Linked DNA regions of Coturnix japonica. The protein of the gene in region 2 purifies or fractionates together with the protein of the main gene of each other region. This does not show direct contact. Links are inferred from orthologs where the notes say so. Each region holds a gene or a part of one and is shown on either strand. Other genes may lie near its edges.

Region 1 (4,565 bases), on a different chromosome or scaffold from region 2:
GTTGATTCTTAATTCAGTTCCCATGCCCCAGATGACTGAGAATCTGAATGAGACCTTATAAGGACTGATGGTGACATATCACACTGAGAGCAGTGGAAATTCTGAGGCACAGAAATGCTACAAGGTGGCCATGGAACCTACCGACTTCAACCCAAAGTGATCTGCTACACTTGATTTCCTAACTTAAAGAAACTATATTAAAAAAGAAACAAAACTGCAATATTGCATTACGTCAAACTCAATTTACAGAACTTGAACTGGGGACATTTTGCTTCTTCCTAACACCTACCTTGGAACTCTTCCCTGCAGTTGTGATAAGATCAGTTGGAGAGACTGGCACACATCACAGCCTTGTTGTTTGTACAGTGTCCAAATTAGTTACTGTAAGAAACAGCACTAGGATAGTGCTAGGATAGGCTACAGCACTGATTTACAGATGCTAGGAAACACACCAGAGCTTGGCTCTATGTTAATTTAAATCCTTTTTAACTGGTTTGAACTGATACTTTGATTTGTTAATGGACCACTGATTAGCATCCAGTAACAGTGCAATTAAAAGAAATCCACTCATGGAAATATTTTCCTTTACAATCCAAGAGAATTTTGGGTTGTTTTTTTTGAGGGGGGAAGGTGTGAATCACCAATGTCCTAAAATGTAAACAGCTTTTTTGCATTACTTCAAATACTGATTGCCAAATTCAATTTTGCATATTTATCTGATACCAGCTCACATTTCCACAGGAGTGACAGATGGAATTTCAATCAAATTTGGCTCTGTATGTTCTCAGAAGCAGCAAATGCTCTGGAGGTGGGCTGTAAAGCTTCCTTGCACCTTACACAACATTGCAAATATAAGCAACTTGGGAAGCCGGCTGGGCATGAGAGAACCCTTTAGAATCTTTTCAAAGCAAAGCTCTGGAAGGTACCTTAATCCATGTGCAGCTCTCTGCCCTCCGTGTTCTTCACTGTGCAACCAGCCCAGCCTGATCCCTGTCCTGCACTACAACGCTCCGTGTATTTGCAGCTTTTCAGGGCTATGAGCTGTGGTTAACGGCAGCCACTGAGGCGATCAACTGCAGCAGCTCCTTGACCCTACGGTTAGACGGTGAAATGTGTTAAACTGTAGCTACATGAGAATGTAACAAAAACAATTCCTCTTGATGTCACCCTTACCAGCTGTACACACACAGCGCAGCTCTCACAGGTCGGACACCATGTGCCCTTCCCTTGGCCTGCTCCAACATTTTCTCTCGTTGTGGTGGTGCAGGCCTTGCAGCAGCGCTGCTCCTCACAGCAAACCGCGCTCGGTTCCTTCCCACACACCGAGCACCGCTTTCTGTCAGTTCCACACACACACTTGGCTTTCCCGGGTGAGCCGCACAGCCACACACCACATATGCACAGGCCTCTTTTTCCTCGCCACAGAGTAGCGATGTTTCACAACAGCCTCGAAGCCGGGTCGGAGCGCTGCAAACCGCTCAGAGGCAACGCACGAAGCGCCCAACATGGCACCCAACATGGCGCCCATCGCCCCGCAGCCTGAGGCGAATCTGCCGCCATCGAGCGCGCGACCGCGGGCGGGCACCAATCAGAAGGCGGGGCCGGGCCCACGGCGCAGGCGCGTGACGGGAGATCGGCGCATGCGCACGGCGGCTGTGTCGGCTCCGGAGCCCGGCGGTCACCATGATGTGGTTCGGGGGATCCATCCCGGCCGCCATCGCCGCCGCCAAGCAGCACGGAGCCGTGTTCGTCGTGTTTGTGGCAGGTAACGGCAGATCGGGGCGGGGGGCGGAGCTGAGAGACGGCTGGGGGCATCACCCGCCGTGACAGGGAGTCAGCCGAGCTGTCGGGCCTGAGGGCCGCGAGAAGAGGGAACAGCTGAGGGTTGAGAATGTGTAACTTACAGAATTTTCTTCATGCAACTCAAGCTGCACTGAACTGTCCTGTTCTATTAGATGTGAATGTTGACTGGGTGGCTGTGGGAAGGCACAGCTGCTCAGGCTGGTGATATGACCGCAGGATGGAGCCTTGCTTTGATACTGTGATACTTTGATATCGTGGTGGTGGCAGTGATGTTAGATCTTCATGGCGCAGACTGGCCCATAGGCACACATAAGGGACAGGCAATCCCAAAGCTGCTGGCTGAGCAGGGAGAGATGCTTTCAGAGCTGTTATTTGTAGATGTTGTTTACGCTTTGCTCAGTGATCTGCATCTGTTTGTTTCCATGTGAAACTTCTTAGGACTGAGGAATAGGGGAGTTGAGTCCTTTGGCAACCTGGAGTGGTTTTAATAGGTTCCTCTTACAGGAACATGGTTATTGCAGACTGTGTCTTTTCCAGTGATGTGGATGACGTGGGAGGTGATGGATTGCTGTCCCTGTGCACAGCTCTCACTTGACCTGACCACACTGAAGAGATCAGCACGTGTGACTGAGAGTTGTGTGCAGGTCTTTGATTGCTGCTAAGTGAAATACAGGGATGTGTGGGCACGAGAGTTGTGAGGCAGTTGTATTAACTCAGTGTTGAGCTGAGCCAGCGCTGTTGGTGGCGGCCTCTCAGCTTTCTCCGTGCCTTTCACATTTCCTTTTCAGGATACAGTTACTGCGATAAATGAACGTGAAATCCCAAGTGGGAAAGGGTTATTAACAAAAAGATACCAAGTAGCCGTTCTGTGGGTAGTCTCCAGGTTAAAGTGCTTTATGAGGTAGGGTTTCATAGAAGGTGAGTTATCAGCATTTTCCTTCCTGGGTCACAGCTCTCAGAGACGGCACATTGAACGACGCCTGACCTGTTTTTGTCCTTCAGATTCTTTTGCCAACTGCAGCAGTTGTTTGTCTGGAAAAGTCACCATTAGGCAAGTCTGGAGGTATTTTTAGTAGCCTAATCGGATGAGCACGTGTGAAAGTGTGTGCAGCACAGTGTGTGCAGCACAGCGTGTGCAGCACAGTGTGTGCAGCACAGCGTGTGCAGCACAGTGGCTCTGTCCCAGCGTGGGGCGGGGGCAGGAGGCCGCACCACTGGGCACAACAGCTGCAGCCACCCGCTGCACTTGGCTCCCTAAAAATATCCCAAACGTGAACTTGGGGTATGTGGGCTGATAGGAGGTAACTGCTCTTGGGGTATGTGGGCTGATAGGAGCAGAGATTAGTGCTTCCAGGGGAAAATCAGGGTGTACGGATGGAAAACACTTGTCCAAAAGCAGCGTGCTTTGTATTTGTTTCCTTCTGAGCAGCACTGCGACCAGTCCTGATTTAAAGGAAGCAAAGCTTCACAGGGGGATTCCTGGTTGTTCGTGAGTAAAAGATACCACGTGAAATAGCGACTGGGGTGAAACATGCAATGAGATGATGCAATCAAGCCAATCCCCAGTGCCATCAATCAGTTCCTGCTCCTTTATCCCTGTTCCATCTGTGCGGTCCAGTCCCTTCTGCTCCCCTGGACTGACTTGCCATGCAGCTGAATGAGCGTGCAAGCTACATGCTTACTGTCTTAGAAGGGTTTTTGGTATATTTGCCTTTTTTTGGCATGTTAGCAAGATGAATCAGCTGCAGTGAATTACCTCCAGATTATAGGAAAGAAAAGAAGATTAACTGTTTTGCAAATAATTGACAGTCTCTTTCATCAACTACTTCAAGCAGCTGAAGCAGAGCTGAAGTCAGGGGCGGTTGTTTGTTCAGCTTCGTGTGTGTTGTGTTTGCAGGTGAGGATGAACAGTCGGCTGAGATGGCTGCAAGGTGGGAGGACGCTCAGGTGACCGAGGCTGCCTCCGATGGATTTGTTGCTATTAAAATCGACACCAAAAGGTTTGATTTAACTCTAATTCTGTCTCTTATACAGTCTTTCATTGATGATGATGGAAGTATGAGGCATGTGAAGTTCTCTCCTTGCACTGGAGGTAGTTAAATACAGTGTTTGAGGGCATAAGTGAGTTCAGTACTGCTGAAGCCACCAGAATCTGAAAAAAATGAAAATCTGCATTGTTGTGTAGAATATTCTCTGTGTGTTTCCTGCTGGCTTCAGCATTAGTAGAGGAATGCTTGGGGATGTCCTCTTGTAAAAGAAAAAGATGTAAAAAGATAATGTGGAATCAAAAAGCAAGTGCTCTCAAGGCAGCCCTTTGTTCAGTAGGATGGGTCTGTGAGGCCCTAGAGAAATTCTCTCTTTTGTAACACACAGCACGGAAGCATCGAGGCTTCTGGATACAACACTCAGCTTTGTCAGAGTAAGAACTTCAGCTCCAGTGAGGAAAGTGCATTGATGTGTCCAAAAGTTGCATTATTTTAAAAGGCTGTACAGACCCTTTAGAAACATGGCACTGTTTGCACTCAGTGGGTTAGACGTCTCCTTCCTATACTGCTTCTTAGCACTGCTTCCATAAATAATCTACTGCACTCAACTGTGATAAGCAGGGATTGATAACACTTATGCAGAATGATAATGAGAAGATGCAACACGAGTTTGCTTTTAGTGTTTTCTCAAGTATTTAAATAGTTCCGTGTGTGGTGGTAGAACAGTTATTTTTATGATGAAAGGCTTAATCTCAAGTTGTTGCAAAGTAAATGTGC
Region 2 (4,604 bases):
AACACATCCCCAATATCCAGTCTTCTCACTTGAACCCAGAAGCAGAGACCAATGAACCCCATTAAGCAGCAATGTTATGCTTCAGTCTCACCTGATGAATGTTGGATTCCTGCACCTTGATCTCTTGTGGACTGGATCGGGATGGATTCAAGAAATACCCATGATTCTCTACCACACCAGGAGTCTTTAGCAAGCAGGAGATGTTTAAAATGGCACCTAACAAAGTCTTCTGGTACATCTGTCCATTGCTGGGATCCTTGGGCTGAATATACCCTGCAAAAACCTAGGGAAAACAGTTGAACGTGCAGCAGCCTAAACTGAAATCAGAATTACATTGTAAAGATGAGGTCCTAGAAACAAGAGCACAAGAAGTGCCACAGAGTATCTGCTTCTAGGACTACTGTCTGCTTCCCTGTTGTCATGTGCAAACTCCTTTCCCACTTCTTCTACCTCTTGTCTTTCTGAGCAATGCTACGGAAGTATTCATAGGACAACACTAAGATGATACAATTCCAACCAGTTGGGTTTCCCAGTAACAATCAAAGCAGCCAACAGCTCCTGATAACTGAAGAGCACATACCTTTGCTATATCTTTCTGCTTTGTGAAATAAAGGATCATATCCAGGTAAGTGTATAGAAGGATCTGACAAAGGTCCAAGTCCTTGATCCTGCTCAATAAAATATCAAACACTGGAACCATGACTTCCCCAAACGTCCGCACTTCCTCATCCATCGTTAAGGCTTCTATGACCTCCTCAAGAAACTCAGTCATGTCTTCAAAATCTAGCAAGGGACACAAGGGAATTACTGACAACACTCACAGCTCTTAACAATAACCTCACTAAGACATTAATTAACTTCAGACTTACGTGCTCCTCTCAATGCTTCCAGCATCAGATCCACCAGCTGCTCATACACATTTTGGTTGACATAAATCTCTGGGGTGAGAAGAACGGTGTGAGCATTTGACACAGTCAGATTTCGGCAGCGCACAGCAAAGGGCAGCAAGTTCTCTGGAACCTTGGTTATCTGCACAGAAAGAACAGAACGGATCAGAGGCTCCATATCCACCTCTTGCCATGGAAAGATCAGCTTTTAGATAACAAAGATCAGCTTTTAGATAACAAAGATCAGCTTTTAGATAACAAAGATCAGCTTTTAGATAACAAAGTTACCTCCCTTCTCAGAAACTTCTACCCACCTCTTCTCTTGCCCTCTGGAAACAGGCATAGAGGTAGCGTAGGATTTGTTTCTCCCCTGCATCTCGATCTGCAGAGAGATTCTGTGTGCCAGCAGAAGTCATGTAAATCAGGTTGTTTCCAGGCTCCTGCAGCAGCAGGCGGGTAAACAGCGCCTAGATACAAGAAAAAAACACCATGAAAGTGAAACAGCTCCTGCAAGCCAGGAGTTTAACAGTCTGGCCAGTTACAATCAGCATCTCTCTTGTAGCCCTGATGCAGTCTCTATCTGGACAGTCATTGTTCTGCATGAGATATGAGGCACGCAGTCATTATACCTGCTCGATGTTTTCCATGTCAAGCCAGTCTTGGTCATCCAGATCTGCAGCCATTTCTTCCAAATACACACAACGAGCTGGAATCCCATTTCCACTCTTCATGCTGGGATCACCTGGTGAGAATATAAATCATCTGTGGTCACAGCTGATAGAATATAACTGCAGAAGTGAAATCTGCAAGCAGGATCCTGCCTGGGGCAGACAGTCATCTGCTACTGGCTGCTGCAGGGAAGCACTGCCCACCTCCCAGCATCCCTGTCCAATTTTACATAGATCTGATGAGCTCCTGCTTAAAACACATTTCATTAGGGAACCCAGCAAGCAGAGACCCAACATCATTAGAAGCTGCACTCTTACACTGACGTCACTTGTAGGAAATAAGCTTTGGGGTACTACGTGGTTGCTCACAAGACCCCCAAGCTCTCAGGGAGTTTCTCTATTCACATCCTTGCCCCATGCAGCCCCACTGAGCATGAGCAGCACAAGCTCCTCAGCACAATAGTGCCAGATGTGAGATATACTAAGTGACACTTCCATTTGCTGCATTCAGAGCCTGTTTTTTCAAGCACAGAGGCAGAAACAGCCTTTCACAGCAGTTGTGTAATGCTGTTTTCTCTCACCCTTTCAGGTACAATGCAAACACACAAGCTCTGTTCAAGGTTCTGGGAACATAAAATGCGAAGCAGCTGCGTGGTTCAAGGACACAGAGCTGTTCCACCTTGCATTCCTCCCAGGTTGTTTTAAACCAGAACAAGAAACAGAGCGGAGCTTGCTGTATGAGAAGGGGCTATGCCTCCTACTGCTCACCCAGAGAACAGAGCACCAGCATCCCATCCCCTTGAGGCCATATAAAAGCCAGATCAACAACCACAGGACATCAGGAGCACTCACTGTTATCAAGAGTGATGAGAAAGATCCTTTGGATCATGTGATTGATGTTGAGCTGCTCGCACAGCTCCCTCTGAGACCTGAAAGAACGGCTGATCTCAGCCACAGAGTAATCACAATCATCCAGGCTCTCGGACACGCTGTTATCAGAGTCATCTTGACTGACCGAAGTTTCTTCTCCTGCAAAATAAAACCTCCTGAGTGAGCTTCTTCCTTTAGCACTCACAGACATGGAAAGGCACGAAGGGACACAGAGAAGCCCCTCTGCCCCCCCTTACCCCCCATTTACCCATATTTACCTCCCATTTACCCCCTTTTTACCTCCATTTACCCCCCGTTAACCCCCATTTACCCCCATTTACCCCTCATTTACCCCCCATACAGGCCCAGCCCTGACCTGCCAGCTGCCTCAGCTGCTGTTTCTGTCCTGCTGCGAACTGCTTGGCGTCTGCGATGGAGCTGAATAACGCAGCGAAAGGATTCCCGGAGATGTTGTTGTTGTTCTCCTGATCGGTCATCTCCATTCAACGCCGCGCCATGCGGGACGGACACAACCGGTCTGCGGGGACGAACCGAACTAAACCGAACCGAACCGAACCGGGCAGGCCCGGCACCGCCGCGCTCAGCTCCTACTCAGTCAGCACGTCGCACACTAATGACGTTATATAATGTCCATACAAGAGGGTGTCGCAGTGCTTTAGCTCCCCCTGGCGTCTTGGAGGACTCCATGTAAACAAAAACTGGTGCCACCCACATGCATTAGTTAATTAATTAGTTAATTAGTTAATTAATTAGTTTATGTTGGAATTCGCACACTTAGGATATAATATTGATTTATGGATGTCTTGTGTTGGCGTCACTGTCCCTAAAGGTGTTCAGAGCCGTAGGGATGCAGTGCTTAGGGCTGTGGTTCACTAGGGTTGGACTCATTGATCTCTTATGATCCTATATGTGTGTATTGCAACCTCCCTCCCACCCCACCCATGAGGCCTTATCCCATTGCCATGTCCCAATAGCGCTGAGTTGGCTGAGTAGGCCAGGAAGAGAAATGCCCTTTGAGCAGCCCTATATGCTCCAAGCCAACACCACACACATCACCATTGCAATGAACAGCTTTTAATGTCCTGTTGAGGGGTTCTTTGCCCCGTGACACAACAACAGTTGCATTGAGCCTCCATGTCAGGGCCCACAGGGCTGTGGCGGCAGCTCCCAGCACAGGCTGGGTGTGGAGCGGTCCCTGCGCTCCAGCTCCGCCATCTCTTGCATCTCCCTGGCGCTCACTGCTGGCGTCTGCACCTCGAAGGTCAGCTCGAAGCGGCTGTAGTCCACGTGGAAGGCTCCTTTCTCCAAGGACATGCAGGGCTCGAAGCGATACCCCCACAGGATCTCGTCCTCAGTGTAAGAGGTGCGGGCCTGGCACGTCATCCCTGCAGCAGAGACATGGCGAGATGGACTTTGCATCACACTAACACAAGCAGCTGCCCATAGACCCCACTCCCTGTCCCTCATACCCGGCTCTGCCTGACCCCAACCCCTCCTCACTCACCCGTAGCTTCCACAATACCCTCGAGGATGATGATGATCTCAAACTGCTCCCTCTTCAACGACTCCGCCGACAGGTCCCAGAAGGGGCTGTGCTGGTTGATGACGTGGCAGATGATCTGGGGCTCCACCAGGAACAACCTGTCCTCCCCTGTATCGTAGCCTAAATTCAGCTCCGACTGCTCCAAGGGGATGAACTCCCCTTCTTTGGTTTGTCGGGATTTGATCAGTTTGGCTCTTATTTTTGCATCCACCATGTGACTCTCCCGGAGGTCCCCGATGCGGAACATCAGACAGAGCTTTTCATCCCTATGGGAGATGACACAATTTTTACTGAAGATTAAGGTCTGGGCGCGCTTTTTGGGCCTGGAGATCTTGACAAACATGCAGCCCACCATGAGGGCATCAATCATGGAGCCTATGATGGACTGCACCATCAGCAGGATGACGCCCTCGGCGCAGTTGGCTGTCACGATCCTGGAGCCGTAGCCAATGGTCCTCTGGCTTTCCACAGAGAAGAGTAAGGCAGATATGAAGTTGTCCACGTTCTCGATGCAAGCCTTCCACTCTGGGTCCCCGATGTGGTTGATGTCATCCCTTACCCATGCATCGAAGAAATAGACGGTGCCAAAGACAACCCAGGTGACAATATAGCACA

Evidence for each region.
Region 1: the proteins of UBE4A (region 2) and UBXN4 purify together in Homo sapiens (affinity purification with mass spectrometry; 3 studies listed by BioGRID and IntAct, counting the BioPlex papers as one, with this or other methods). This does not show direct contact. The link is inferred for Coturnix japonica from reciprocal best matches to the Homo sapiens genes UBE4A and UBXN4.

What each region holds. Positions count from the first base shown.
Region 1 is NC_029522.1:27,814,522-27,819,086, forward strand, and holds the start of UBXN4 (UBX domain-containing protein 4), read left to right. Parts: upstream 1-1,628; 5' UTR 1,629-1,683; coding exon 1,684-1,765; intron 1,766-3,700; coding exon 3,701-3,803; intron 3,804-4,565. UniProt on the Homo sapiens protein: Involved in endoplasmic reticulum-associated protein degradation (ERAD). Acts as a platform to recruit both UBQLN1 and VCP to the ER during ERAD.
Region 2 is NC_029539.1:3,764,704-3,769,307, forward strand, and holds the start of UBE4A (ubiquitin conjugation factor E4 A), read right to left. Parts: upstream 3,052-4,604; 5' UTR 2,929-3,051; coding exon 2,802-2,928; intron 2,585-2,801; coding exon 2,408-2,584; intron 1,630-2,407; coding exon 1,517-1,629; intron 1,355-1,516; coding exon 1,202-1,354; intron 1,030-1,201; coding exon 870-1,029; intron 784-869; coding exon 581-783; intron 284-580; coding exon 92-283; intron 1-91. Other genes in the region: G protein-activated inward rectifier potassium channel 4-like, read right to left, coding at 3,584-3,831, 3,951-4,604.